Lonchura striata: one gene and its partners. The protein of the gene in region 1 interacts with the protein of each later gene in a pairwise test. Links are inferred from orthologs where the notes say so. Each region holds a gene or a part of one and is shown in the gene's direction. Other genes may lie near its edges. The genes, in order: GADD45G, ARPC5L, TSNAX and AFAP1L1.

Region 1 (6,774 bases):
AGTTTATGTACAGAGGATGCTACCTGGTTTATGAGGCGTGGGGATCAGCAACTTCTGTTTCAGGTTCAGTGGAAAGAAATTATATGAGGATGAGGTAGGTGACCTATTGATCTGCTGGAAACAGAAAAAATCAGCTTGATTAAATCATCTTGAATTTAACCACAGAATTTGTAGAGCTTCCTAAAACTTGTGTTCAGTAGGAAGGTTTTTGATTTGGTTTTTATTTGGTGACATCCACACCTGGAGAAAGAAGCTTGCTGGGTGATTACAATAGGTCTGCAAGGGAGGAGAACTGGAGGGAGAACTGGAGTGGGCGAGGGAGATGGAAATGGAAAGGGAGAGGGAGATGGATTTGGAAAGACATTGAGAAGGGAGTACTGCATCTGAGCTGAAAGGACTTGTCTATCTTGGTAGAGTCTTTCTGATGGAAAGTCTGGATGTGCAGCACAAGCCAGGGGAGCACTAGGCAGGTGAGTGCAGGTGAGTGCAGGGTAGGAGCCCCATGGCTGGGGGGTCTATTACCATGGCTTGCAAGCCTTTTCTGATGTGGAAGGTGTGAGTCTCCTCTTACTTAGGCCAAGAGGTAATGTCCCTTTTTGCCGAGCAGCTCTTAAGCCAATTCTGTCCCACCTGTAGTGCTGCATGGGTTTGCTGAGAGTAAGTGCAGAACCCAGCACATTGCCTCATTGTCCTTGGCCCACTGACTGAGTCGGTCCAGATCTCTGTAGAGCCTTCCTTCCCTCGAGCATGTCTATGGATCAGGTAACACACTTTAGGGGATTTATTTTGTGTAGGATGTGTCAAGGTCTACTTTTCAGTTTGGTCGGTTGGCTGTTGTTTGTGGTGGCTTTTTGTGCGTAGTTTTTTTTTTTTTTTTTTTTTTTTTTTTTTTTGGGTTTGAGTTTGGGTTTTTTTGTTTGTTTGTTTATTTGTTTTTCTCTTCCCGTGTCTCCGCTGTAAGCGTCCCGGGTGGCCGCGAGAGGTCAGCGCAGCCCGAAGTTCAGTTTGCTTATTCGGCATCCAAGGTACCACATCTGCGGAGCTGATGCCTTCCAGCCAGGGACGGGGCCTTGGGCTTGCAAAGCGCTGCTTTCTGCAGCTCCTCTCCTGCGTCAGAGGCCTGGTGTTGATACTGTGCTTTGAAACAAGCGGGATCAGCTATCTCGTAATGAACGCTTCATGGCCTTCAGCACCATCTGTGCTAGGAGACCTGGGAATAATGGGGCACACTGAAAAGTGTGATGTCAAGAAGCCTTAATTCCGGGGTGCTGCATCATTAAGCTGAAACTGGAAGCTTGCATGAAGGATTAATATGTTAATAAGGTTCAATATACCACTTTATTATCTAGACAATTATATATATTTTACTATTACATATACTCTGTTCTCCACTCTGAGTTACTTTGGCTTACTAATTCGGATCCATCTGAAGTAACTTTAATTTTTAGTGCACTGAGAAAGTCATCAAAGTGATAGCTGATATCAGCATCTTTCAAAGCTGTGAGTCAGTTCTGGGTTTTCCACCTATTTCATCAGAAATAGGCCCTTGAATATATCTGAGACATACCACTTAATGTGTCTTACCATTCAAGCTACTCTTCTGCATTCATCCCCATTTATATACTTAGAGGAAAAAAAAACAAACAAAAAAACAACAAGCAAACCAGGAAAAAGAAAGAAGCAGATGTATGAAAGGTTTTTATCTTTTGAGAACAAACTGTACATGCTATGTATACTATGCTAATTCCAGCAAGTGGAGACAATTGCACTTGCCTGAATACAGGCCAGGAGATAATTTTCTGGAGACTTCTCACATCTTTTTTAGAGAAGGCAAAGTAAAAATTTATGCCCTTCTCACTCAAATTCAGACTGACAAGTCACTGGTTTGGTTTCCAAGTCTTTGCACGTTAGTAGGGTAAAAAAGATTGCGAGGCTCGAGGACTGGTGTTTACAATGAAGAGTTTTCTTCCCAGTACTGACAGCTCTGTAGACATCAGAGAAATGTTCTTAGAGAGGCTGGATGTGTCTGGCAGACATCATGCCTATGTTGTCACTAGCTTAAAATGGCAACTCACTAAGTGATTACTGCCAGGTTGAATGCTGTCACCTCTCGTGTCACCAGGGTCTCTAGAAACAACTGGAAGTAGAAACACAGCAGCTCATTAAAGTGGCTCTCTTTGAGAGGCATTTTGGAAATTGTGATGCTCAAAGAGACTGAAACTGAGCAGAGTATAGCATATTCAGTCACAGATAAGACGTGCTTCATCCAGGACTCCCGGTGAAGTCTTGGAAAGGACACCCCTGTGTTTCAACACTTTCGGATGGGTGTGGCTGCAAGCTAGAGAGCAGCAAGGATGACAAGTTAGGTCGCAGTAGCACAGGTTATCCCAAGGAGGCTCCGCACAGCCTCTGTGGGACCGCACGGCGCTGCTCTGAACCGGTGACTCGGTGCAGACAAGTGCTGTAAGCTTAAGCGTGTCAGATGCTGAAGGGACGTGAAATGTGATTTGCCTTTTAACATTGTCTGTTGCTCATTCACAGCGGGAAAATATGGTTTTTTCTTGCTTGGTTTGCTGACAAACAGGTTCAAATCTGAGTTCAGCAATCACACTCGTTTCACTCTGAATTAATTATGAACACTGTCCAAATTACAGCTATTTTTAATAAAACCCGACTGAAAAAAAAAAAAAAAATGCTCTGTTTGCTCACACCACCCTCCTCTCCCAGGATCATAGACCAGCACAGCCTGCAGAAGGGTTACCAGTGACCTCAGAACAGGTCTGCATGGGGGCAATCCTGCAAGGATGAAATCTACACAGCCTCCCTGGACAGGAAGCCTGCTCTGCTGCTTGACTGTTCTCAGGGAGAAAGGATTTTTCTTACATCCCATCTGAGCGTCTTGATTACACTCCGCTCATTGTCTCCTGCTCCACTAAACATTGCTGTGAAGACCCCGGTGTTATCTTCCAAATGATCACTCGACGGGTTTTGGGCTCTGCAGTTTGCCACCCAAACTTTGCCTTCCTCAGGCTGAGCTGGCCCTGGTCCCTCAGCCTGCACAGCTTTGGACACCTCGGTGCCCTCATCTGCACTCCGGTTTATCGGCGTGTTTCCCCGGCCGGGGGTGCCCAAACCGGACAGACCACATTGCTGCGTCCCGGAGTGCTGAGCAGAGGGGGATTATCACCTGCCTCGGCCGGCTGGCCGTGCTCCTGCTCATACAGACCAGGGCGCGGCGGGGATTTCCTGCAGCCCGAGCCACTGCTGAGCATCACCAGCTGCCTGCCCAGCGCAGCCCAGGACCTCTAGAGCGCTGCCCTTAGCCCTGGTTACAGGGGCTGGCCCTTCGCGGCGTACACCCTTGCAGAAACCATATTCATAAAATCTCTTGTTTATTTTAATTTTTTTTTTTAATTTTATTTCCCCTGCACTGTACAGATTTTCCTTCCAAGTCTTGGACACAAATCGCCCTATTACTTGCCAGTGCCTACGGGCGACCGGCGTGCAGGGAGCGGCCACGCCTGCAGGCAAACCGCTGGCACTGCCGGCACCGCCGGTATCGCTGGCACCGCTGGTTCGGGCTGTCTGGGCCGGCTCCGCTGTCTGTCTGTCTGTCCGGGCCGGCTCCGCTGTCTGTCTGTCTGTCTGTCTGGGCCGGCTCCGCTGTCTGTCTGTCTGTCTGTCCGGGCCGGCTCCGCTGTCTGTCTGTCTGTCCTGTCCGGGCCGGCTCCGCTGTCTGTCTGTCCGGGCCGGCCCGGCTCCGCTGTCTGTCTGTCCGGGCCGGGCCGGCTCCGCTGTCTGTCTGTCCGGGCCGGCCCGGCTCCGCTGTCTGTCTGTCTGTCCGGCCCGGCTCCGCTGTCTGTCTGTCCGGGCCGGCTCCGCTGTCTGTCTGTCTGTCTGTCTGTCCGGGCCGGCGCGTGCCCGCGCGCCCCACGTGGTCTCCCGGCACGAGCCACTCTTTTCCCCCCCCCCCGCCCCGATCTTCCTCTCCGGCGCGCGCCGATTAGCATAATAAAGCCGCCCCTTTCTCCCCCGCCGGCCAATGGGAGGCCGGGAGGCGCCCGCGAGGCCTATAAGTAGCGCACGCCGGCCGGCTGCCGCCTCAGAGCGCTCACGGCGTGCGCGGAGCCACAGCTGAGGGAGGCGCGGGGCCGTGCGGACTATCTGCTATGACTCTGGAGGAGATCCACGGCCAGCAGCCCATGCCTGCGGGGCACGACTGGTACGTGCGGGTGGGCGCTGGGGAGCCGAGGCGAGAGGGTAGCGGGCGGTTTCGGGGCGGCGGTGGCGGCGGCGCCGCGCTGACCCGGTGTCTCTCTCGGCCCGCAGGATGCAGGGCGCCGGCACGGCCCTCCACGAGCTGCTGGTGTCGGCGCAGCGCCGCGGCTGCCTCACCGCCGGCGTCTACGAGTCGGCCAAGCTGATGAATGTGTGAGTACGGCGGCGGGGGCAGGGCAGTGTGCAAGGCAGCCCGGCGGGGCTGCGGGGCGGCCGGTGCCGACCGCGGCGCTCACCGGGCTGCTCCCCTCTCGCAGCGACCCCGACAACGTCGCGTTCTGTGTGCTGGCTGCGGACCAGGAGGACGAGGGGGACATCGCGCTGCAGATCCACTTCACTCTGATCCAAGCCTTCTGCTGCGAGAACGACATCGACATCGTGCGGGTGAACGACGTGGCTAAGCTGGCGGCCATCGTGGGGCCCAGCGAGGACTCCGGCGAGCCGCGCGATCTGCACTGCATCCTCATCACGGTGGGTGTCCCGCGGCTCTGCCCGGCGCGGCCCCTGCTCCGCTGCGGGTGGTCGAGTCCTCTGCCGGGCACAGACAGAGCGCTTGGCACGCAGCGAGTCAGCTGAGTGGTAGGAGGAGGAGGAGGCAGAACTTCTCGTAACTGGATTTCCTCCGCTGTCCGCAAGGGCAGCATCTCTGCTTCCTGTCTTGTCTGTGTCAGGACAGAAACTGTCTGGAAGTGCTTCCAGCCCTAAGCTAATGCTTCTGTAAATGTTACGATGACCTCAGCTGACGGGCAGCACTCACGGTGTGCAACTTTTTTCTTTTCTGCAGAACCCGAATGAAGAAGGCTGGAAGGATCCAGCTCTGGAGAAGCTGAATTTGTTTTGCGAAGAGAGCAGAAATGTCAATGACTGGGTGCCAACTATCACCCTGCCTGAGTGATGGTCACCTGGTGCACCGGGGAGGCTGAAACCTTTGTTGCATTCTCAACGTGCTGTGCGTTCACCAAAATGTGCAACAAGCTGCTGATTCCATGGATTAGCCTGGTCAAGAGACTGGATTAAAGTGCCTCAGACTGGCATGCAGTGGGCTCTTACAGAGAAGAAAGAGGAAAACAGCTCATCTCACCAGTGAGCCTCAGTAGGCTGCAACCGTGGAGAGGCTGACATACCATGGAACTGAAAGAAGTATTGCAAGTTTGGCTATGTGGAGCTGTTTCAGAAGGGAGAGGGAAAGTTGAGGGAAGTGGGCCAAAACTTTCCAGAAGGACTGGATAGAGTACTGTAACTAGGAACTGTTGGTGCTGTCTGCAAAACACACCAGAAAGTATCAATATTTATGGAGTATTGGGGATTGCTTACTAAGACAAATGCAGATATTCCAAAGCAGACAGACTTCAACAGGCCTCTTGGGTCACTCTGCAGATCTGTTTTAATACTGCAATAACTTTTATTGAAATATTTGCTGCTATTGAAGCTTTCATAATAAATTTTTGACAATTAATTTCTGGGAGTGTCTTGCTTGCTGGGTGTGGGGAAGCATGTCACTTAAATACTGCTGATGTTTTGCTTGTGTGCTGTAGTCGAAGATCGGCTTCACAGTAATGGAGTTATTGCTCAAATACTTTGCTGGGCTGGCTGAATGAAGTGCTGTGCTGTCCAAGTTGATAATTCAACCTTTACCCTCTTGTAACAGCTGCTTATCGCAACAGCTTGCAAGACGAAGGAGTCGCATGCCTAATGAGCTTACTTATTGTAATAGCAGGTCTTTGTAGTCTGCTGGAGGAGCACAATGCATGTTAGAAACATGGATTTTTGGAATACAGACCTCCAGTAAATTGCATCATTGATTCTTAAATATGACTTAGATGCATTCAGAGCTGACGTGTTTCCACTTGATAGAAGTGGCTTAAACATGATGGGGGGGCTGCAAAACTCCTTAGATGTCAAACACATCTAACATTTGCTTTGATTAGAATGACATCATTAAATCTAAAACTAGCAAATGGTGAATAAACATCACATCTGCCACAAGCTGCTCTCTGATTGCCATATGCTGTAACAATAGAAGCTGTCAGTCCAGAAGCCAATTTTGTGAAACCTAATTGCATGACAACACCAAATTAAGTCCAAAACAATTTAAGGATGGTGTGGCCCTTTTTAGACATTCTGTCATGAAAAGTTAATATGGGTGGGTTGATTTGGCCCTATGTTAAAAGGGAAAACATCGCCCCATTTTTGTGCACAAACTATGCATGTGCTCCAGGACTTGACATTAAAATGGCACAGTAATAATCCCCTCTCCACGGAGCAAGAAAGCTAAACTACTCACTTCCTTTATAGGCACTAAAACCACTCAGTTATCACAATTGCATTTCCTCTGGGCTGGCTTGCAGTGATTGACAGTAGCACTTGCTGAAAAGTGGTAATTTCCACTTGAGCAAGGAAGCTGCTTGCTCTCAGTTTCATTGTTCCCAATAAGGGAAGTTCAAATTCAGCTCCAACATTCCTGGAATATGCTTCCTTGTACAGGCGGCATCTAGC
Region 2 (7,030 bases), on another chromosome or scaffold:
GTTGTGGCTGCTCCCCCCTCACTGCAGGGCTCTCCCACGTTCCTGTTTCTAGTGAAGACATTCGATTAACCGAGCAACCAGCGCGGGAGCAGAGGCCCAGCCCGTCCGGCAGCCCCGCTCCGGGGCACTCACCGGGGTCCAGCGCCTGAACGCAGCTGCGGTTCCCGGCGGGGTGGGCTCCGCCGAACACCCAGAGGCGCGGGGCGCGGCCGGCGGGCAGGAACGTGGCGTGCTCGTAGCGCGGCCTCAGCCCGCGCCAGCCGGCGGGGACCCAGCGCAGCGGGGCTGTGGAGGGGACAGGCGATCGGTCCCGGTCCCGGTCCCCGTTCCGGCCCCGGCCCGGCCCGGCCCTCACCCAGCTCCAGGAAGTGCGCGTCCGCGAAGGCGCCGGCGGGGTCGGCACCGGCCAGCAGCAGGACGCGGCCGGGGAGGAGGAGGCAGCCGAGTCCCACGCGGCCGCGGGGCCGCTCCCCGCAAGGGCTTAGCCGGTACCTGCGGGACGAGGGCGGCGCTCAGCGCGGGCTGGGCCGGCCCGGGGCCCGCCGGTTCCCCCGGCCGCTCAGCGCTGTGCCCCCGCCGCGCCCCCAGCACCCCCGCCATGCCCGCCGCGCTCAGCGCTGTGCCCTCATCACCCCCGCCGTGCCCCCGCCGTGCCCGCCGCGCTCACCACCGTCCCGGGCGCGGCCGCCGCCCCGGCTGCAGCAGCGGCAGCGCCCACGGCGCCATGGCCGCTGCCGGGCCCGGCCGGAAGTGCCGCCGGAAGTGCCCCGCGCTTCCGCCCGCGCCCGCGGCGCGCTCCGCCGGCCGGAAGTGGCGGGCGGGGCCCGCCGTGCCCGAGCCCGAGCCAAGATGGCGCCGCTGGACCTGGACAAGTACGTGGAGATCGCGCGGCTCTGCAAGTACCTGCCCGAGAACGACCTCAAGGTGCGGCCGCGGCGGCGGGCCGGGGCCAGCCGGGGCGGGCTGGGGCCGGGGTGGGCGCTGCCGGGCGGGCCGGAGCGGGCGGTGCCGGTGGTCCCGGCGCTGACCCCGACCCTGCCCCGCTCCTCCCGTAGCGCCTCTGTGACTATGTTTGTGACCTGCTGCTGGAGGAGTCCAACGTCCAGCCCGTCTCTACTCCCGTCACCGTCTGCGGGGACATCCACGGGCAGGTAAGGCCGGGCCGGGCCGCTCCCGGTGCAGCCCCGGGCCGGGGCCGGTGCCGGTGCCCGGTGCCCCCTCACGCCGCTCTCCCCCCGCAGTTCTATGACCTGTGCGAGCTGTTCCGGACCGGCGGGCAGGTTCCCGACACCAACTATATCTTCATGGTAGGTGCGGCCGGGCCGCGCCGGGTTTGACAGGGCTGGGGGGAAGTCCCGAGGGGCTCCCGAGTCCCGGGGCCGCTGCTGGCTCCTGCCCCCAGTTGTGCTGCCGGGAGCCCGGGGGTGAGGCAGAGCATCCCGCCCTGCCAGGCTGTCCCGGGTCAGCTCAGGACAGCGGTGAGGGGAGGAGAGCCCCGCGGGTCCCGCAGATCCCCTGCCCTGCAGCGCCGGGTTCTTGTGGCACTGAGGAGCTGGGGGCGGATCTGTCACCGGGCACTTTCCCGTGTGACTGTCGCTCCAAGTGCCGCCGTCTCTGCCTCCAGGGGGACTTTGTAGACCGAGGGTATTACAGCCTCGAGACGTTCACATACCTGCTTGCACTAAAAGCCAAGTGGCCTGACCGCATCACGCTGCTGCGAGGCAACCACGAGAGCCGGCAGATCACCCAGGTGTACGGGTTCTACGGTGAGTCCTGCCCGGGAAGCACGCTGGCACCGACACGGGGCCGGGGCTCTCGGGGCTGGCTGGGACACGGGCTGCAGCTTGTTACTGGTGACAAGGTCACGGTGCTTCTGAAATGGAACGTGTCTGAGGCAGATCTCGCTGCTCTTTTCCTCTGGCACGTGGGGTTTCTGCTTGTGTTGTGCCACGTTCAGTGGCACAGGCAGAGCGTGAGGTTCTTGCTCCCTGCTGCTGGTGCTGGTTCTGGGCAGCAGCAGGACCCAGCACAGAGCTCATGTGACACAGCTGAGCATGCAGGTTCTGCCGTCAGTGTTTCCCCGAGATCCAAGAGGAACAAACCCGTTCTCTCCAACAGATGAGTGCCAAACCAAATACGGGAACGCCAACGCCTGGAGGTACTGCACCAAAGTCTTCGACATGCTCACGATAGCAGCTGTAAGTGCAGAGGCCAGGCCAGCAGCGGTGGGGTCCTGGCAGGCGCTGCAGGCTGAGCTGCAGCTCCCCGGCAGCGCTGCTGAGGGCTCTGTGCACGTGTCACCTCCCTGCAGCTAATAGACGAGCAGATCCTGTGCGTGCACGGAGGCCTCTCCCCAGACATCAAGACCCTGGACCAGATCCGGACCATTGAGCGGAACCAGGAAATCCCTCACAAAGGCGCCTTCTGCGACCTGGTGTGGTCGGACCCGGAGGACGTGGACACGTGGGCCATCAGCCCGCGCGGGGCGGGCTGGCTCTTCGGGGCCAAGGTCACCAACGAGGTAACGCTGCTGCTCGGGGCCACGCAGCCCGGGGTGGGGATGGGGGAGCCACGGGCTCAGCTCAGGGTGGTGCTGAGTGCACCCAGGGCACTGCAGGACACCAAACTCCCCCGTCACGCCTCTGCCAGTAACTCGTGGCTTGTGCCAGATGGAAAAAATGAGCCACTTCAACCTAAAAGCACAAATGTAACTGCCAGATGTACTAATGCCTATCTTGCTTTTGAAAAGTCTGATGTGGTGGGACTTACTTGTGTTCCTGGGCTGTCTATGGAATGGTTTCCTAAGGATCTAGGAGAAGAATACCATTTTTTAAGCAATTTTTGAGTTAATTTTATTGTGTCTGTGCTGAGCAGACTCCTCAGGGCTCTACACACTGGCCTTGGCAGGCTCTGACCTGGCCACATTCAACTGCGTTGTCGTGTGGCCCTGGCACAGCATGTTAGGAAGGCTTGAGCCTGGGGACAGCACAGCCCCAGGACTCATGCTGTTCCTCAGAGCTCGGGTGTCGCCAGCCGTGTTTTACAGGGGTTTCACAGGGGTTTCTCAGTGCTCTCACTCCTCCTGTTGTGTTCTCCATGCTGCTGTGTGCGGTCAGGCCAGGAGCAGACGTGGTGTGGGCAGCAGCCGCTCGGGCCACGCTGATTTTCCCCTTCCCTTGCAGTTTGTTCACATCAACAACCTGAAGCTGATCTGCAGAGCGCACCAGCTCGTCCACGAAGGATACAAATTCATGTTTGATGAGAAGTTGGTAACGGTATGGTCAGCTCCCAACTACTGCTACCGCTGCGGGAACATCGCCTCCATCATGGTCTTTAAAGATGTAAATACAAGAGAACCAAAGTTATTCCGCGCAGTTCCAGACTCAGAGCGTGTCATTCCTCCCAGGACAACCACGCCGTACTTCCTCTGAGCCCTCGCCCGCCTGCTCTCACCTCTCCCTGTCCTGCCCCTTTTCAATATACTTTTTATTGAGCACTTTGCTGCTGAAATGCTGCCTCTTGCCTTTTTTATTTTTAAATTATCTAAATTTATTGTGTATTATGGTGTCTGTAGCAAGTTTTTTTTTCCCTCGCCCCTAGATTAATTTCAGAGTATTTGTAATATGTCCTTGAGATTTGTACTACTGCATGTAGTCCTCGCCTAGTCCTGGGTTAGATGAACCGATTCCTTTAACCACCACGCTCCGGGAGCCGCTCGGGCCCGTCTCTTGTTCACTTTTTGTTTTTGCTAAGTTTTAAGAAATTTCAGCAGCAAAGTCAGCGCGCGGCGTGCGGCGGGGCCGGGGCTGCCCGTGCTGCGTTCACGGCGCAGGACCGAGCCAGCGTTTTCCGAGTGTTACGTGGATCCCAATAAAGCGCTCCAAGGGCTGTTCCGCGTTCCCGGTCTGTCCGTTCTGCGCGGGATCCCGGCCGGAGCCGCGAGCGCTGCAGCGGCGGGACGCGTACATTAAAGGCTGGTTGGGATTTTCCCGGGCTGCGCTGTTTTTCCGGGCGGGGCGGGGCGGCGCCGCGCGTTCCGGTTCCGCCGCCGCTTCCGCCGGGGCCGGGCGGCGGCGATGGCGCGGAGCACGCTCTCGTCCCGCTTCCGCCGCCTCGACATCGACCAGTACGACGAGAACCGCTTCGTGGAGGAGCCCGAGGAGGCGGCGGCGGCCGAGCCCGATGCCGGCCCCGAGGTGGAGGCGCTGCTCAGGCAATATCCTTTGGGCCGGGGGTCCCGGGGGTCCCGGGGAGCGGCCGGGGCGGAGCCGCGCTGCGGTCCCGCGCACGCAGGTCCCGTTTGAGTCCTTGACCGCCGCCGCACGGGCGAGGCGCTCCGCGCCTTCCACGCCGCCATCCGCAGCTCCCCGGGCAGCAGCCGGAGCCAGGCCGTGAAGGTACGGGCCGGGGGGGACAGCGGCGCCCCGCCGGTCTGAGCGGCGCCCCGCCGGTCTGAGCGGCGCCGCTGCTGCCGGCACAGCCCTGAGCGTGCTGGCACGGGCATCCCGCCGTGTTCACCCTTCCTCCGCTAACCCCAGGTCTGCTCACCGCGCTCACCCAGACAACCCAGCCTGGAGCGTGGCCACCTCTTGCCAAACACGAGTCTTGGGATCGTTTCCAGCTGTTCTCGTCCTCACATTTCTCTCTTTGCCTTGTCTTCCCAGGAGCAGGCGCAGGGAACGATGCTTAAAGTCCTCACATCTTTTAAAAGCAGTGAAATAGAACAAGCGGTGAATTCCTTAGACAGAAACGGTGTTGATTTGTTAATGAAGTACATTTATAAAGGATTTGAAAAGCCAACAGAAAACAGCAGTGCAATATTACTCCAGTGGCATGAAAAGGTACGTGTTGGGGGCACTCTTGGCTCGCTCGCAGGGTCCTGGCCAGTGGTGGTTTCAGGAGAGCCCCTGAAGAGAAGCAGGTGGGGCAGGGCCTCATCCCTGAGGAGGAATGTTTCCTTTTACCTTTGCTCACTGTTTCCTTTTACCTTTGCTCTCTCTGAGCCTGCATTCACAAAGCCTTTGCCTGTATTTCAAACCTTACCCTCTGCCATGGGAAGAGGAAACTTGCAGCAGGGAGTTCTCCTTGTGCTGCCTTTGGCCCCCAGGGCAGGCAGGGGCTCCAGCAAGGAGAAGGGTGGGAGTGGAGATGTGATGGGATGGACGGGGCAGCTGCAGCTTCCTCTGGGGCCGAGCTCAGGGAGTCAGGCTGGCAGTTTGCATCAGCTGAGTCACAGGGTTTAGCAAACCTGTTTGGTTTGCCCAGGAGAGGATTTTGAGGTCTCCAAAGATTCCAATGGGGACCAGCAGGGGCCTCTTTCGTTCCTCTGGAATGTCAGCTGTGAAACAGGGAGTGTGGGATGTGTTCAGAAGCTGATACTGCAACTTTCTTCCCTGTGTGTGATGGGCCCAGGCACATTCTGGGTTGAGGCACAGCCCTGAAGCAGCTGCTGGGTGCCCCTGCCCCCGGGCAGGAATCCAAGTGAAGTCTTCCCCCCCTGCAGGGGCTTTGGCTGAAGCCCAGGCTGTCAGTGCTCCTAGGAAAACTGATCCCTGGGCACACTGCAGCTCCCTGTGCAGGGCAGCTGCTGTGAATGCCACTGTCCTTTCCCGAGGTGCAGAGCTTTTTCCTGCTGTACATAAAGCTGGTGTAGCGTGACTCCAGCTATTGGCTGCTGTCACCAGCTTTGCCAGGCCTTGACAAGGGAGGAGAGAATTTCTCGGGACAGCAAGGAACATGTTTCTGCTTGGTTTTTTTTCTTTTTTTCCTGTTGTTTCCACTGAGGTGCTTTCAGGTAAGCGTGGGTGGTGCTCCCAGCGTGGGAGGTGACACACCACCACCCTGACTGATACTCAGAGCGTGCAGGGACATGAAAGGCATCTCATGCTCTCTGTTGTGAAAGGAACAAGGCAGGTCTGAGTAGGCAGGGTTTAAAGCCTGGTGTCCTGCTTTGTGGCAGTACTGGTAGGACGTGTGGCTTGCTCAGATCATAGTCAGCTCAGTGGTAGTACCAGTCTGTCCTCTGGAAAAGGCCTGTGGCAGGTCTGGTAGCTCAGGAGCTTTCACCTGCCAGTCCTGCTCCAGGTGGGTGCTTTGCATTTGTCTAGTCATGTTTCCCAGCTCCACGTCTCTTCTGCTCTTGTACTCTGTAGAGCAATCTACTGGATTGTGGTTGCAAAGTAAACACCCCACTTCCAGCAGTCATCTTAAAAATTTATTTTCTTCATAATCACCTCCATCTTCTAGACTTCAGAAGGAAACACTGTTCATATTGAGGGACACAAATTCAACTGAAGTGAGCCCTTCCTCCTCCTCCTCAGGGATACAGGAGGCGAGACATTCTGCTCTGTCAGTGACTTGCAACACTGGAGATGCAAAAGATAGTTAGATTGTGGAGAATTACAGTTTCTAGTTTTGGAGAAGAGCCATAGTCCCTTCTGTGCTAAACTCTTTGATGTTTGTTCTGTGTGGGACGTGGTGACTCTTAACCTCTCTCCTTTCCCACAGGCACTGGCAGTAGGAGGCCTGGGCTCCATTATAAGAGTTCTCACAGCAAGAAAGACTGTCTAAAGACTGTTAACTTGGACAGAGGTGACGGTCAGGTTTGGACTCAGAAGAAGGAATAAGCTGAAATTACACTGGTCCATCTTTATTAGAGATTGCAATCTACTGAAATCCTACAGTAACCTCCTCTTGGAATGCTTTTAACCTTTAAGGTGGGGGAAGAGTAAAGGTATTCCTGCATATTCCGACTATCACACACAGGAGCCAAGACATTCTCCTGCTCCCTTCTGTAACGGGCAGAGAGAAGGCACACTCCTGCCTCCTACTGCTGTAAGTGAACAGGTATTTCAGATGCTGCTTTAGCCAGGTGTGGTGGTACAAGCTCCGTGTGTCCTGCTTAGTCCCGAGGTAGCTGTGTCCAGGCTGGGATCCTGCAGCTGAGGGTGGGACAAGGGCTCTTAGAACGTGTGGGTGAAGGACTCTTGGACTCTGGTGTTGGCTTAATGTAAAGTGAAGTGCCTGCTGC
Region 3 (7,543 bases), on another chromosome or scaffold:
CCACTCAAAGGCTGCACCATGGTGTATTAGCACTTGGATCCTGAAATCTCAAATTCTACCAGCAGTAAAATATTCACAGCTTTCCAACTTTATTCCAGGAAATGAGGAAATCATCCTCCTGATCCATCCTGCCACTGCTGTGGGCATCTCTGTTGCCTGAGAAACATAACAGGTTGTTGTTATAACAGCTAGAGACCAGCTGACCTCCCCGCTTCCTTTCATCAACCAGCTGCGAAACTCCTCGGTCATGGAACAGTCTCAAATTGACCACCTGACCCCAGTTTATGCAACTCCCCTGTGGCCGTTTCATAAGCTTTTTGTCACTTCACTTCACTCAATTGTTTGTGGAAAGCATTCGCAGTTACCCTGGCTAATGGGAACGTTTCGGTGTGACAGCTTGCCCCGTGGCTAAGCCCTGCATCTCCAAGGCAACCTCACAGTCTTGCTCTAAGAGTACTATGCTATGTCATGAAATAAAATGAAACCTAAAAGGATATGCCAGGACAATTCCAGCTCTAACTATCCATAGTGCTATTCTGCTTTAGCAGAAGTTTTAGGAAACATTCCCAGGCTGGTTATTTAAACGTGGGAGGGCACCACAAAGATAGCATTTGTCTCTAAAGCTATACGAGGCATACAGGGGCATGAAGAGCTACACCATGAACTCTGCCAGGGATCTCAGGGATCTTAAACAGTTTCCACAGAGTTGCATCAAAATTATTGAGGGCAGAAAGAAATTGTAATTTCATGTGCCTGACAAATCACCTGGGTCCTACCTCTGCACAGCTCCATTACTTGAAGCTCTAGGTGTTGAAGCAGCCTCATTAGTGTGGTTCTTGAGCTGAGCCCACCACACTCCTCTGTCTGCCCTTCACAGAGTTCAGCTGAGTCAGTGTTAAACTTGGACTTTTACAGAAAAGGAAGGACTCCTTTCCTGCTCCCTTGAGTGCCATGTTGAGGTGGTGTTTGCTGATAGTACTGCAGAGGACCAGAAGCCTCACTGAAGGACATTGTGTAGGAGTGTTGCTGAAGCAGATCATTGCCCAAAGCAGCAGAGTTCAGGGATAAAATGAATGGACAAGTTCCAACTCCCTACAGTTGTTTTACAGAGTTGTTTTCCCCACTCAGAAAGGCGCAGATCCTGTCTGGTCTATGCACTTGTGCAGTGTTCTCACAGCCCTGAGTCTTGGAAAACACTTCTTTCCTATGTGAAAGCTGAGTTACCAACCTTGTCTTAGGCTCAAGAGCGCAGTCGTGTGCAATCCATATACAACATTTTAGATCTTAAGTCTCTGAGAAAACCTTGTTAGTTTGTTGTTAGCTTGTTTGGGGGTTTTGCCCTAACCTAAATCCTCACAACTCCTTTCTCCTACCAATTCCTCCTTCAAAATGTTGTTATTCCACCTTCACACTTGTGGAGGTGCAGATGCCATTCTCTTCAGGCATAAAGAACACAAAACTGTAAGGGGAAGGGAAAAGGTTTAAATACCAGCTAGAAGAAAATGAAAAATTCTGCAGCTAACCTGTTACCAAAGTGGTTTAATGCTGCTACATTTAAGTGGATTGTTTCAGAAGAAAAACCCCAACCAGTTGTTTTTCACAACAGCATCCTGTTGAAGTCAAACAAGTTGAATATATCAGTGCACGTGCAAAGTGTCACTAAGTCCAACAAAAATCGGCTGAAGACCTGACCTTCACTCCCTACAATTGGCTGAAAATTCTCCACTGCTGGGAAGCATTCAGAAGCAGGCACTATTTCCACTCTCCTGCGACATTGATATAACCAAAACAACTCTGCTTTTTGTCCAAAGAGCTGCCAAGAACAGGGAAATAGCACAGTTTGAAAAAAAAAAAAAAAAGGTATGTGTTTCCAAAAGCAGTTTTGTACATCTTCTAAAACAAAAGGCTGTGCCTGAATGTGTGCAGCGATAACACCGACACAAATAATTTCATGTCCTGATTTTGCCCCATAGAAAGCAGAAATCTCCTGTGCAGCTGGTAGGGCAGCAATCAAGCTGTTGCACAACTCAATATGCAGATCAGGCCTGAGGAAGTTCTGCCGGGATTCTCTTTGTCCTCTGTTTTTCAAGTGTGATTGAAATCTGTTTTCTCAGATTAGGAAATTGGAGAAAGGTTTTATGTTACACTTCTGAATAATTTTGAACACTGCATGACAGTCACATGTTCTCAACAGTTGAAAATACCAGGTTTGAGCAACTCCTGCTTGGCTGCCTGGAGACTTTAAACCTCACTGTCAAAGTTTTACTTCTCTGCTATCTGAGTGAGGTGAGTTACTATCCTCCTGAATCTGTTGACAGATTCACCTGATATTCAAGTTTGTCAAAAGCTGTTTATTTGTTAAATGCAAAAGACCTGATACTGGGCTAGTGGCTCTGCTCTTCCAGAACTCCCACAGGCTGGGCTCTGCTAACTTTTGACTCTGAAGCATTTGCATTTCACAGCTGGGTTTATCTGATTTCTAGTAAGGTGCAAGTTCCACCCAAAATTTTTTCCTTACTCAGGATGTTTATAATCACTCCTGGAGGCTCTTTCCCTCTGTCAAATCAGATCGACCAGTTGACCAACAGATTAAAAAATTATTAAGGGTGGGGAGGAAGGACAGGCACACATGCACACCCACACACAAAGGCTGCAAGCACTCCGCCTTTGTGCTCATATGAGCTTTGTTTCCTTGGGAATCCAGCTACTAAAACAGGCAACAGCTGTGACAAGAAATAAGATCTATCAGCAGAGGAGCAAGACTGATGATTTGCAAACCTTTTAATTTGGGGATTTGCAAGACCCATCCCTATTTTCCTTCCATCGGAGGAATCCATCAGGATGCATGTGTAGGGAAGTATAAACCTAGTAGGCAAGCAGACTTTTTGTAGCTCATCATAAGAAGAGAAGCATCATCAAGAGCTCTCTGTGCTGGGAAGTATTTATGGTGTGCGTCCATCTCCTTCGTGGTCATTCCTGCAGTGAGAACACTCCTATCCTGAGAACACTCACACCAAGTCTCCAGTAGAGGAAACATAATTTTTACCAGGATGCAAATATCCTGAGTTTGGGAATTTGCCTCCTCTGTACCAGCAGCTACATTCACTGCATCTCAGATTTCTTTTCCTGGTATTAGGTGGCTTCACTATCAGATCTTCTCGATGTCCAGTTAGTGTCTCCAGTTTCCAGAGCCTGTCTCAGTGTCAGCTTGCCATCCTCCCTGGCCTCCTTGCCCTGGCACACTGTGTGGATGGGTGTCGCCCTGATTCTTAAGATTTTCTAAAGCCTTCTGAATTTACATTCTGTTAGAAAACTTTCTCACACAATTTTCTATAAACAACATATTGTTTTGCATTCCTTCATAGGGGCAGAGAAACTTGATGTACTGGTAGTTCGTCCAATGTGTTTGGAGAGGTGGCCCATTCACTCTCCAATCCACTGTCACCTTTGGAAAAGTATAAAAGTTGGAGTCAGAGAATAAACTTCCTTCTTCTTTACCTTGCAAATAGCAGCGGCTCGCGTTGTGCTTTTACGTGTCCTATAGCGACAGATGGGCACTAAAGGGGAGTAAGGGGGCACCTGGTGCTGCGCTGGGGGTGCTCCCAGTCACCTTGCCTGGGAGGAGAGCACCTGGATCCTGACATGCTGGGCAGGAAAGGGGCACTGAGACAGAAGTGGACAGCCAGTAAGCAGAGGACACAGTCTGAAGCTGTACCAGGGAGGGTTTAGGTTGGACGCGAGGAGGAATTGCTTCACAGAACGAATGTTACAATTGGACACTAGGATGGGCTTCCTGGGAAAGTGGGGGAGTCGCCATCCCTGGAAGTGCTTAAGTGTTTTGACTCTCCCTGGACGTGGCACTCAGTGCCACGCTCTGGTTGACATGAGTTCAGCCATAGGTTGGACTCGATGATCCCAGAGGTCTTTTTTAACCCAACCGATTCTGTGATTCCCTGGAAGCGCCGTAGTCCTGGGATGCCCGGGGAAGAAAGCGGCAGTAAGGAGTCTGTCGTGGGGTGACGGGAAGGCGACATGACAGCCTAGGCAGCGCGGGTCTGGGCTGAGGACTGTCGCTAGATTTCTGCGGTCCGAGCCGAGGACCACGGTTGCTCTGGATGCGGGACACACCGGACGCCAGCCGCACGCAACCCAGAGCTCCGCGGCTCCACCCCGACCGCGCCACCGCCCCGCCCGGCACTACATGTCCCGTCATGCCGCGGGCGCTGAGGCCCCACGAAGGGGTCGCACACTAGCTGCCCACAGAGTCGCCTTCTCGGAGGCACGGCCTGGCCTCGGCACTGCCCCGATTTCGCGGGCAGCAACGTCCGAACCATGCTCCGCGCCGCCACCGCTCCGCACCTCCGCACCGCGCCTCCCGCGCCGCGGGCGGCGGGCCGGGCTGTTGCCGCCTGTGTGGCGTTTCGCCGTCAGGCACCCGCGGGGCGCCCCTGCATGGCGCCGTCAGGGCGGGGGCGGAGGGCGGCGCGGCGGGGTCCTGGCGGCGCGCGGGGCGGCTGCGGGTTGCCGGGGGGACGCGGCGCGGCGGCGGCTCCGTGATGAGCGGCAAGGAAGGTGATGTCCCCTGCCCTTCCCTTCCCTACCCTGCTCTACCCTGCCCCATTCTCAGGAGACCGCGGCGTGAGGAGCTGGCGGAAGCGGGGGGAGGCCCCGCGGCTGGAAGGGGACGGGGTGCGGAGCCTGTGCCGTGGCCAGCGGGTCCCTCCTCTGGCCCTGGGAGAGGCCGCCCCTTCACGGGTGTCACGGACCTTTCCTTCGGGGGCGCTGCCCTCCCGCTGCGGCTGTGCGGCTGCCACAGAACGTGGCTGGAGGGGTCGGTATCCCTGGGGTGGAAAAGCAGATGCCACAGAGGGAAGCTGAGTGTGTGAGGCCTGTGAAGCCCTTGTGCTAACTGTTCATTATAGTGTGTGGGTGTATATGTACGTATAAAATATTATATATACATCACAATATATATGTGAAATACATATTTTTCACAGCTTGCTCTGCCGTCTCTGTGTTGGTTTAGCCCTGGCAGTCACAGAACGGGTCAGGCTGGAAGGGACCACGGCGCTATCATTTGTTCCAAGCTCCCTGCTCAGGCAGGGTCTCCCTAGAGCACCTGGCACAGGATTGTGTCCAGATGGTTCTTGAACATCTCCGGTGTGGGAGACACCACAGCCTGAGGACAACCTGTTCCAGTGCTCAGTCACCTGCACAGTGAAGTTCTCCCGTGTAGTCAGGAAGAATGGAACTTCCTGTGCATTGATTTCTGCCCGTTTTCTCTTGTCCTATTGCTTGGTACTACCGAGAATCACACAGACCTCCCTTCATCTCTCTTTCGGGGGGTTCATTTAATGTTTTCAACTGCTATAGGAAAAGCAAAAAATCTTGAACTCATGTCCAACATAAAATAAAGAAAAAAATATTTTTGGTTTCCTCTTTAAGAAAGTAGCTACGCCCACTTCTTGTTTTGGTTTGGGATAATAAACAATTAAGCGGAAGCATTTTAAAATCCAGTGTTCCCTTGGTTCTTGTTTTAAGGAAATTGAAAGAACTAAATGAATTCAAAAGATATGCCTGTATTCAAGTTTGCCAAATTTTTGGCTCTGTTAGGAACAGTGTACAGCTGTCACCAAAAAGAGGGAGAGAGAGGAGTAGTTGACACATGGGTGACATGATGTGTCATGTTAGTCCAAGGTGAAGGAAGGATAAAAGGAAGAAACAATACAAGGTGTAAATTTGGAGTAAAACATAGTCCAAAAGAGATGAGTTCTGGGTGTGGGTCTGAAAACGAGGGTTAAGGAAGAGGCACACAGAGCAGTAGAAGTGAGCAGCTACATTCAGAGAAGAAACTGGTTAATGGGCAGAGTGTAGGGGCGTAAGAAGCTGCACTGCAGGAGCTAAACCTATATACTTGGGTAGGGGTAGTCTGCTTAAACTGTGCCTCACTTCTTCTTCATGTTAAGACCTGTGACATAAATCACAGATTTTCATGCAACCATCTGCTTATCCATTGAAATGGGTTTTTTTTTCTAATTTTCACTAGCAATGTGGAAGAAATAGTAACATGATAATGTGAAGTTGGCGTCAGTTGATAATAAGTTTCATCCAATTACCTTATTCTGTCCTGTAGAATATGATTGCAGCCAGAAATGCTCTGAAGACAGCATTCTGGTGCTCCTTTTGCTCTGGCAAAACTATTTTTTAATTTTATTTTTTTATGTCTATTATTTAATAGGATCAGGTGGGTTCAGAAAGCGAAAGCATGATCATTTTCCACATGGTCAAAAAAGAGAAGAAAAAGAGAATGTTAATCCACCTTCAGCTTTGATGACATCTTTTAAATGTAAGTAAGAATTTGGAAAACCAGGTTTTAAAAATGTGGTGCAGAAATTGCTAGGAAGTTATTAGTGAAATAAGCCAGCTCTCTCCAAGGGAGAAGCTTGAAACTAATTCAACTCATACTCCATACCTTTAGAGCTTAGTGTTCTGCATTTTGTGCAGTGAAGTCCTGGGAGTGGGATTTTGCATAGCTCTGCCTGGTTCATGACTTGCTCCTGTTTCCATCTCACCTGCTGTTCCCCCTGCCCTTCTCACTTGTGCTGAACCTGATGCTGAGCAAATTGCACAAGTGTTCGGCCAGACAAAAGGTGACTGGGCCCTTTGGTGACAGAAAAATGTAGGATCTGCAGAGGTGTAATACAAAATCTGAGCCACAGGAGCAACAGGAGGAGATGGTGACCTTTGGGAAACTGAAGAGGCTCTGACCTTGGCTGTGATGCACAAATGACTAAGCTAAGGAAATGTAATTGTTTTAATGTATTGTTTTAAGAGTTGGTAGTTGTTTATACCTGCACTTTAAAAAAAAAAGACTTCAACGAACTAATATAGACCTTTATGTAGTCACTTTATTCACTTTGAATGCCTTTTAAATATTAACATATATTCAAAGGTCTTTAAAAAGGCAGGTGTAAACTTTCCTTCAGCCAAATTGTTTTTATAGGCTTTTTCAGCAAACCAGATTTAAACTCCAGTAAATTTAAATTTCTCATTAGACAACTCCTAAGAAAGCAAAGCTGACCTTCAGAAATGAGAAGCCTTGACTGAAGAAGGAAGGAGATTTGAGATGGGGAGCAGATTAACTCTTGTTGTAAAATTTTCCCCGTGCCACATATTTTTTATGATGCTAAGAAGGGTAAAATATAAGCTGGCTGGCTGCTTTAGATGGTTAATATGTCCTTCAATGTCATATAACTTCTGGCTTTTTAAAAAATGGGTGTTTATATTTTTCTGTGTAAATCAACTTGGCAGATGATTAACCATGACCCCTGAACTTTGCCTAGAGAAGCTGTGGCTGCCCCATCTCTGGAAGTGTTCAAGGCCAGGTTGGAGGGGGCTTTGAGCAGCCTGATGTAGTGGAAAGTGTCCTTTTGGACTAGCTGATCTGGAAGGTTTCTTTCAACCAAACCACTCTATCATTTATATTGAGTATGGTTGCTCTTGAATTGAGTAGAGCAACTGTACTTTCAACTTTTAATTTTTT
Region 4 (7,259 bases), on another chromosome or scaffold:
TCTGCTGTCCCACAGAGTACAAGGTAAGAGCCTCCTGCTGCGAGGAGCCACCCGCCGGAGCTGGCAGTGCCAGGGAGCATCCGTGTGCCCCCGGGCTCTTTGGGGGAAGCTTTGCCCTCTGCCTCTCCTCTCCTCCATCCTGGACCTGCCGGCCCCACGCCAGGGCTGTGTCCCTCCCTCTGCCAGGGCTGCTGGGCAGATGTGTCCCCTGGGTGAGGAGCAGAGCAGGGGGTTGTGCTGGTGCTGTCCTGCTCACGCTCGTGCCTGGCTCATCCCTGCTCTGCAGAGTGAGCAGCTGAATCTCCACGGAGGATCGGGGTCACCCCCAGAGCAGTCCCCACCTCTCCTTGTCCCAGCTGTGCCACCCAAACCCTGCTAAATACAGCAGGAGTGCCAAGTGTGCCCCGCGTGCCTTGTGGCCGCCCCAGTGTCCCTGTCCCTGTCCCCGTGCAGATTTACCCCTACGAGCTGCTCCTGGTGAAGACCAGGGGGAGGAACCAGCTGCCCAAAGACGTGGACAGGACTCGGTTGGAGGTGAGAAGAGCCTTTTTCACTGGGGACAATCAGGGCACAGCCCTGGCACGCGGTGGCCGTGGGGCACACGAGTGGCAGGGCGCTGCCACGGCTGCTCCCTGCGCAGGGGCAGGAGGGAGGCAGGTGCTCCCCTTTCTGAGGGAGCAGTGCTGGGGCTCGTGTCACCCCGTTGTCCCTGCGGGCAGGGGGTGCCCTCAGACCCCCTGGAAGGTGCCCAGCCTCCCGTTTCTCCCCAGAGACACCTGTCCCAGGAGGAATTCTACCAGATCTTCGGCATGACCATGGCCGAGTTCGACCGCCTGGCGCTGTGGAAGAGGAACGAGCTGAAGAAGCAGGCCCGGCTGTTCTAAGCGCAGTGCACTATAAATATATACATACCTATAAATATATACATAGAGAGATCTCTATATGGCAGCTCTGTATGATTCTCGGGGCTGTACGGGCCACAGGGGCCCTCCCTGCCCCCCTGAGAGTGAATTGGAGTCTTGCAGATCGTTTGGTGCTCTGTGTTTCATTTCCAGCCTGATTTCTGTGTCGATCCCTGAGTTCAGCCCACGCTTGGTGTCTGTCACTGCTGCCCCTCAGGGACACCAGGGGAGATTTTCCTGCTGCAGCCACGGTGCTTGGGGCTGGCAGAGAGCAGGATTTGGGATGGGGGCTGCACTGGGGTGTCCCATCCCCTTCTGCTCAGCTGGGGTGTTCCTCTATTTGCAGGAATAGCTAATTTCAAAAATTAGTTGAAGAAGAAGTCACAGCTGGCCTCAACGTGCACAAATGAATATTTTTCCAGGATCATGGGCTCATGTTTAAGTTGGAAGAGACCTTTGTGGCCATTGAGTCCAACCGTTAACCCAGCACTGCCCAGACCACCACTAAACCACGTCCCCAAGTGCCACATCTGCATGTCTTTCAAATTCCTTCAGGGATGGTGACTCCACCACTGCCCTGGGCAGCCTGTGACAGTGCTGGACAATCCTTCAGAGAAGAAAGTTTTCCTAATTTCCAATCTCACCCTCCCTTGGCACAACTTGAAGCCATTTCCACTTGTGCTTGTTCCACTTGATATTTGGAAGAAGAGGCTGATACCCCCTCACTAATCTTCTTTACAATTGCAGTTTAGAGGAACATTCCAGCTGGGGTGGAAAAGGCCCTGGGCACAATGGCAGGAAAATGGGATTTCACTCCAGGCTCCTTAAATCCATCCCTGCCTTGACATGGCCAGGACTGGGGGCACTTCAGGATCTGAAATGCAGAGCTTGGGGCAGGGGATGGAAGTGGTGGGGACATCAGTCCCAATCCCTCCTGGGCTGGTGGCTTTCCCTGCAAGCTTGGGTTGCTCCAGAGCCAGTTTATCCTCCCAAGAATAGCCCAGCCCTTCTTAAGTGGAACAGCCAAAGCCACCTCCTGCCTTCTGCAGTTTCCTGCTGCTCTTCAGGTTTGTCCAGGGCTGAGTATTCCAGGAGATTCCAGCTGGGAGCTGGGGGAAGGCCAGAGGAGAGGAGTGGGAAATGCAGGTGCCACCACCTGCTGAACCTCTGCTGGGTTTTCCTGAGTTCCCCATCACAGCTGCCTGACTCCCTGATGAATCCCTCTGGGAATGAAGGCAAACTCTACCTGTTTGTGTCCCAAACTCTATGGGATAACTTTTTTTTTTTTTTTCATAAAACCAATAAGTTTGTTTCCACACAAACATCTTCCCTGCTGTCTGTGGTGCTCTGCTTTCCCGTTTGCTCATCCTGCAGGATTTTCAGGCATAGAGCAGGGTTGAACTGTCCCAAAACCAGGCCAGGGACCTGTGGGGTACCTGCAGGAGCTGGGTCAGCTGTGAAGGGACAGCACAGGTTTTACCTCCACTGTGAAACCCTCCTGTCCTGGTGTCCCCATGGAGCAGATTCAGTTCCCTCCCTGCCATCCAAAACTGCCCAGTTTGTTGCCCAAAAATCCATCAGCAGGTTCCCCCTGCGGGGTTTGCCAGAGTTCAGGGCAGGAGTTTTCCCAGCAGCAGCCCCAGCCCTGGAGCTCTGTGCCAGCCAGGACAGGGCTGGGGATTGAGGTGGAGGTGACAACATCGCCCTGGGATCTGCTCATCTGCTCCAGCACAGCACTAAACGAGCAGAGTTTATTTGTAATTATTTCACTCATACAGAAAAGGGCTCTCTAAATCAAACTCAGCTGTTTGTGGCTGTAGGAATCGTCCCTCTCCAGCAGCAGCTCCAGAGAGGCAGCCTGGGGGATGTTATGAATAACAGTGATAACACAACAGCAGGATCTTTTCATTTCCAAAGTATTTTATGGGCAGTAACACAAGGACCTGCATGGCAAAGGTGGGGAAACTGAGGCAGGGCTTGGGGTTTTTTCTCTCAGAGCCGGGGCAACCTCTCTGGGGCAGCAGACACTCCAAGGGCCCCTGCTGGTGTGCCACTGCCCTGGTGGGGTGCAGGGACACCCCAGGTGTCACCAGCTGCCCTGGAAGCTGTCCCTGGCTGCTCTGCAATTCCCAAAGCAGCCTGGTAGTGTTGGCAGCCCTGGATTGAGATTCCTGCCCCAACCACAGACCCAAAGGTGATCCCAAATTGTGGAAGAACATTGGGGCTCGATCCAGAATGGAGAGACCATCAAACACCACCCCTGCAGGAGCTGGTTCCCAGCTGGGCGTGGGGGGATGAGAGGGGTGAGTTCCCTGGGCTGAAATTGCCCCAAAAAGGGGAATTTCTCCGTGCCAGCTGCTAATTTGCAGCTGATATTTTAATTATTGCTTTCCCAAGTGATAATAATTGGGTGGGTACGTGTGAAAGCTCATCACACTGCTGTCCCCACGGGGCTGAGATTCAGCCCAGACTGTCCTGGCAGTGCCACAGCCTCTGTCCTTGCTGCCACACCTGGGGCACTGCCACACGTCCCACAGCTCTGCCAGGAGGTCTGTGCTGGTCAGGGACACGCTGGGCACAGGGGGAGCAGACGGGAAGGGGATTTTGGGGAGGGGGAAACGAGGAGTGTGGGCTCGGGAGGACAGAGAGGGGATTTTGGGGAGGGGGAAACGAGGAGTGTGGGCTCGGGAGGACAGGGAGGGGATTTTGGGGAGGGGGAAACGAGGAGTGCGGGCTCGGGAGGACAGGGAGGGGATTTTGGGGAGGGGGAAACGAGGAGTGCGGGCTCGGGAGGACAGAGAGGGGATTTTGGGGAGGGGGAACGAGGAGTGCGGGCTCGGGAGGACAGGGAGGGGATTTTGGGGAGGGGGAAACGAGGAGTGCGGGCTCGGGAGGACAGGGAGGGGATTTTGGGGAGGGGGAAACGAGGAGTGCGGGCTCGGGAGGACAGAGAGGGGATTTTGGGGAGGGGGAACGAGGAGTGCGGGCTCGGGAGGAGCTGTCCTTGCTGCGGGCTGTGGGAATTCGGGATTTTCCCCCGAAACCGAAGTCGCCCAACCTCGTGTCGTGGTGGAGGGGCTCACTCAAGCCCCGCACCCTTGCCACGGGGGTCTCTGCGTGCCGATGGGGACGCAGGCTGGCAGGGGACCCCAGCCCCAGCCCAGGGCTGTCCCCGCGGGCTGTCCCCGGTGCCGTGCCGTGCCGGGCCGGGCCGGTGCTCGGCGCTGCAGTGCTCCGAGCGAGGGAGGGAGGGAGGGGCGGGGGAAGGGATTGGCCGCCCCCAGCGAGAGCCGGCCCCGCCGGGCGGCCGCTGCCCCGGCACTCGCCCGCCCGCAGCTCCCGGGGCGGCCGCGGTGCCGCGGCTCCGCACCATGGACCGGCTCAGCGGTAAGGGGACGGGACGGGATGGATGGGACGGGACGGGATGGATGGGACGGGATGGGATGGATGGGACGGGACAGGTCGCGCATCCCCTGCCCGCAGCACAGCGCGGAGGGCACCGCGGATGCCCGTGCCAGGCGAAGGGAATCGCGCATCCCGTCGCAGCCGAGCGGCCGCATCCCCCCGGCTCCGTGCGGGACGCTGCTCCCCCCACCAGTCCTGCAGCAGGGCCGGCTGGGGTAGGAGCTGGAAGCAGTTTTGCTTTGCTGGTAGGATGGGTAAAACGTCAGGAGCCTGCAAGGGAAGCTGCGGGGTGTACGCGTTTGTTAAATTGTGGTCGTGGAAAGGGAGGTGACGTTCCCCGATGGGGCCGATGGGGTGCAGAGGGTTTCCCCGCCGGGGAGTCTCCCGAAGCCGCGGAGGGCCCGGTCCCCGCCCTGCCGGGGAGCAGCTCCATCCCACACGTGTGCGATTGCTGCCTGCAGCCCGTGGCACCGGGCTCACGGAGCTCCCGGGCTTTGATCTGGGATCTGTGTAAACCTGCCAGGGCTTGGGGGCAGCTCTGCAGAGAAGGTCCTGGCGTTCTGCTGGGGCTGCCAGATCCCTGCAGGGAGCGCGGGGAGGTTTGCAGGGGGATTGCTCCTCGCTGCTGCTGCTGCGGCTGATTGCATCGGGGTGCACGGGAGGAGCAGGTGGTGACACGATGGAGCGCGGGGGTCCTGCCCCTTGACCTGTCCTTGGAGGTGCTACAGAAACAATGGCCAAAAGCCATAAGAGAGTGGCCAGGGGCGTCTCTGGCTGCCGGGGCTGGACCGAGTCCCAGGGTGGCTCAGGAGTGCTGTGTCTGCAGCCCCGGGGCAGCCCCGCAGAGACCCAGGGGTCAAGAGTTCCCCTCGCCCATGGAAAAGGATGGGGTGGCGTTTCCGCACTGGAAACAGCCCGGAGGAGTTTGGGACTGCTGCGAACACAGGCGCGGTGTCAGCGGCCCGCGGGTCGGGAGGGGACGGGGACAGGGATGGGGACAGGGACGGTGACAAGGACAGGGACGGTGACAAGGACAGGGATGGTGACAGGGACAGCCGTCCCCGTGGCTGTGTCCAGCCGGGGTGGCTGTGCCCGCTCTGAAGGAGAGGGAGTGCTTTCAAGTGACACTTGATGCCAGAGCTGTCCTCCAGGGTCCCAGGGGACGCCACTGCTGGGGACAGGGGGACAGAGGGTCTCTGATGAGAAATTCCCTGTTTGCGCCCCAGCCCACCCCAAAAACCAAACCTAGGACCCGATGGCAGGGAAGGGGGGGATGCCCAGCTGAGGGAGCCGTGTCTGGGCATGGTTCGACCTCTCCACAGGTTGACCCTGCCAGGGAAGAGCTGTTTTATCCCCCTCGCTGGTGCCAGCGACAGCAGCGCCTGCCTGCTTTGTTTTTGAGTGCTTGTGATGAATTGCTGTTGGCACCTGGATGGCTTTGCTAATGGAGAGCTCCCCCTGCCCCTCCTGCTCATCAGCCAGAGCTGCTGGATCCCTCTGGGGGCTGTGGCTCGTGGAGGGAAGGTTCCTTTCCCCAGTAAAAAGGAGGGGTCTGGCGTTAGGCAGGAGCTCTGTGCCCATTCCCAGTCTCTGGCAGCCCCTTCCTTCACCTGGAGCTGCTGTATCCCGATATTATCATCTGCCAGTTTTTTCTCGTGGCTGACTGGGAGGATTAGTGCTGTGGGCTGTTGGCAGAGTTGTTTCAGGTCGTGCTGATGGAGAACCCAGCTCCCAAAACGTGATTTGGGAGGTGATCCTTTGCTCAAACACGCCTGTGTTCACACATGGCTTCTCCTCCCTCGGTAGTGTCTCTTCCCTGACCTTTTGAGCCACCACAATTTAGGTCCTGCCCCAAACTTATCTGGGCTCTAAATCCAGGCAAGCCGGCGGAGATGTGTCAGGGATAAACTTGGCTCCAGCTCGCCCACAGGAATGGAGAGGCTGCGGGACGGGTGGGAGGGAGCCGGGATCATTCCTGCCGGGCTGGCAGCAGGAATCCTGGCGGTGGCAGGAAGGGCTGGGGGTGCTGAGGAGCACAGCCCGGGCCAGCTGTTAGCGCCGGGCAAGTGCCGAGCTCTGCTCCGCATTGCAGCCATTCCTTCCCCGAAACCCGGCCGCCGCCTGTTCCCAGCCCCGGGGTGCTGGGGAAGGGGCTGAGCCCCCCTGGGCTGGGTAGAACAGGCTGGGAGGTGGGATGCTGCTGCTGCTGCTGATGATGATGATGATGAAGGGCTGGAGTTGTTTGCCCCTCTGGATTTTCCCATCTCCCGCTGGCCGGAGCAGGGAGAGCCTGGATCCGTGCGAAGCCTCCCGGCAGCTCTGGAAGGGCACAGGGGGGCTGCTGGAGAGGGGAAGGACATCGTGGCATGGTGTCCCCCCAGCCAGGAGCCCTGGGGACTGTCCTGTGTGCTGCACTGCCTGGAAAACCTGCCTCTTCCCCGCTCTTGACCTGGAAATGTTCTTTTCCTGTGCAAACGTGCTGAGCTGCGAGGCTGCCCTGGGCCGAGCAGCGGTGCCTGAGCTCCCACGGGCCTGCAGGAGGTTCCTCTCCCTGCCCAGGAAAACTTTGTTTAAGGTTTTGAAGGAGCTGTCTCACCCCGAGCAGTGGGAAGCCCGTTCAGAGGAGAACACTGGGCTGGACCCAAGCTCTGCCTGTTGTTCAGTGGCCAAATCACTTGCTGGGGACAGGAGATAACAGTGGAGCAGAGCAGAGGCTTGAAGTGGTTTCTGGCTTCCCAGACTTGTGTCCTAACCCCCCAACCCTTCCCTATTATCTAGTCTGGCACAGCTCCCCCTCCCTCCTGAGGAACACATCTCCTCCTGCATATGAGGAGCCCTAAAATGAACGACACAGCTCTCTGTCCTGTGAAATACCGATTAAATGTCACCGTGCCAGGCCAGCGACAAGACAATGGGGCTGGAAACCTTTCCCTGCCAGCCCTGCACAAACAA

The links.
Region 2: the proteins of GADD45G (region 1) and ARPC5L interact in binary tests that used the Homo sapiens proteins (3 or more experiments, as listed by UniProt). The link is inferred for Lonchura striata from reciprocal best matches to the Homo sapiens genes GADD45G and ARPC5L.
Region 3: the proteins of GADD45G (region 1) and TSNAX interact in binary tests that used the Homo sapiens proteins (3 or more experiments, as listed by UniProt). The two-hybrid records come from large-scale screens. The link is inferred for Lonchura striata from reciprocal best matches to the Homo sapiens genes GADD45G and TSNAX.
Region 4: the proteins of GADD45G (region 1) and AFAP1L1 interact in binary tests that used the Homo sapiens proteins (3 or more experiments, as listed by UniProt). The two-hybrid records come from large-scale screens. The link is inferred for Lonchura striata from reciprocal best matches to the Homo sapiens genes GADD45G and AFAP1L1.

What each region holds. Positions count from the first base shown.
Region 1 is NC_134642.1:8,198,403-8,205,176, reverse strand, and holds GADD45G (growth arrest and DNA damage-inducible protein GADD45 gamma), read left to right. Parts: upstream 1-4,120; 5' UTR 4,121-4,169; coding exon 4,170-4,222; intron 4,223-4,329; coding exon 4,330-4,431; intron 4,432-4,535; coding exon 4,536-4,749; intron 4,750-5,062; coding exon 5,063-5,173; 3' UTR 5,174-6,264; downstream 6,265-6,774. UniProt on the Homo sapiens protein: Involved in the regulation of growth and apoptosis. Mediates activation of stress-responsive MTK1/MEKK4 MAPKKK.
Region 2 is NC_134624.1:10,673,435-10,680,464, reverse strand, and holds the start of ARPC5L (actin-related protein 2/3 complex subunit 5-like protein), read left to right. Parts: upstream 1-4,021; 5' UTR 4,022-4,076; coding exon 4,077-4,216; intron 4,217-4,315; coding exon 4,316-4,397; intron 4,398-4,664; coding exon 4,665-4,841; intron 4,842-6,507; coding exon 6,508-6,570; 3' UTR 6,571-7,030. Other genes in the region: RABEPK (rab9 effector protein with kelch motifs), read right to left, coding at 1-48, 133-285, 356-492, 668-726; PPP6C (serine/threonine-protein phosphatase 6 catalytic subunit), read left to right, coding at 850-924, 1,056-1,151, 1,242-1,307, 1,625-1,766, 2,119-2,198, 2,312-2,521, 3,183-3,431. UniProt on the Homo sapiens protein: May function as component of the Arp2/3 complex which is involved in regulation of actin polymerization and together with an activating nucleation-promoting factor (NPF) mediates the formation of branched actin networks.
Region 3 is NC_134605.1:43,691,235-43,698,777, forward strand, and holds the start of TSNAX (translin-associated protein X), read left to right. Parts: upstream 1-4,541; 5' UTR 4,542-4,556; coding exon 4,557-4,572; intron 4,573-6,238; coding exon 6,239-6,346; intron 6,347-7,543.
Region 4 is NC_134617.1:1,774,660-1,781,918, reverse strand, and holds the start of AFAP1L1 (actin filament-associated protein 1-like 1), read left to right. Parts: upstream 1-4,239; 5' UTR 4,240-4,273; coding exon 4,274-4,289; intron 4,290-7,259. Other genes in the region: ABLIM3 (actin-binding LIM protein 3), read left to right, coding at 16-23, 454-534, 771-884. UniProt on the Homo sapiens protein: May be involved in podosome and invadosome formation.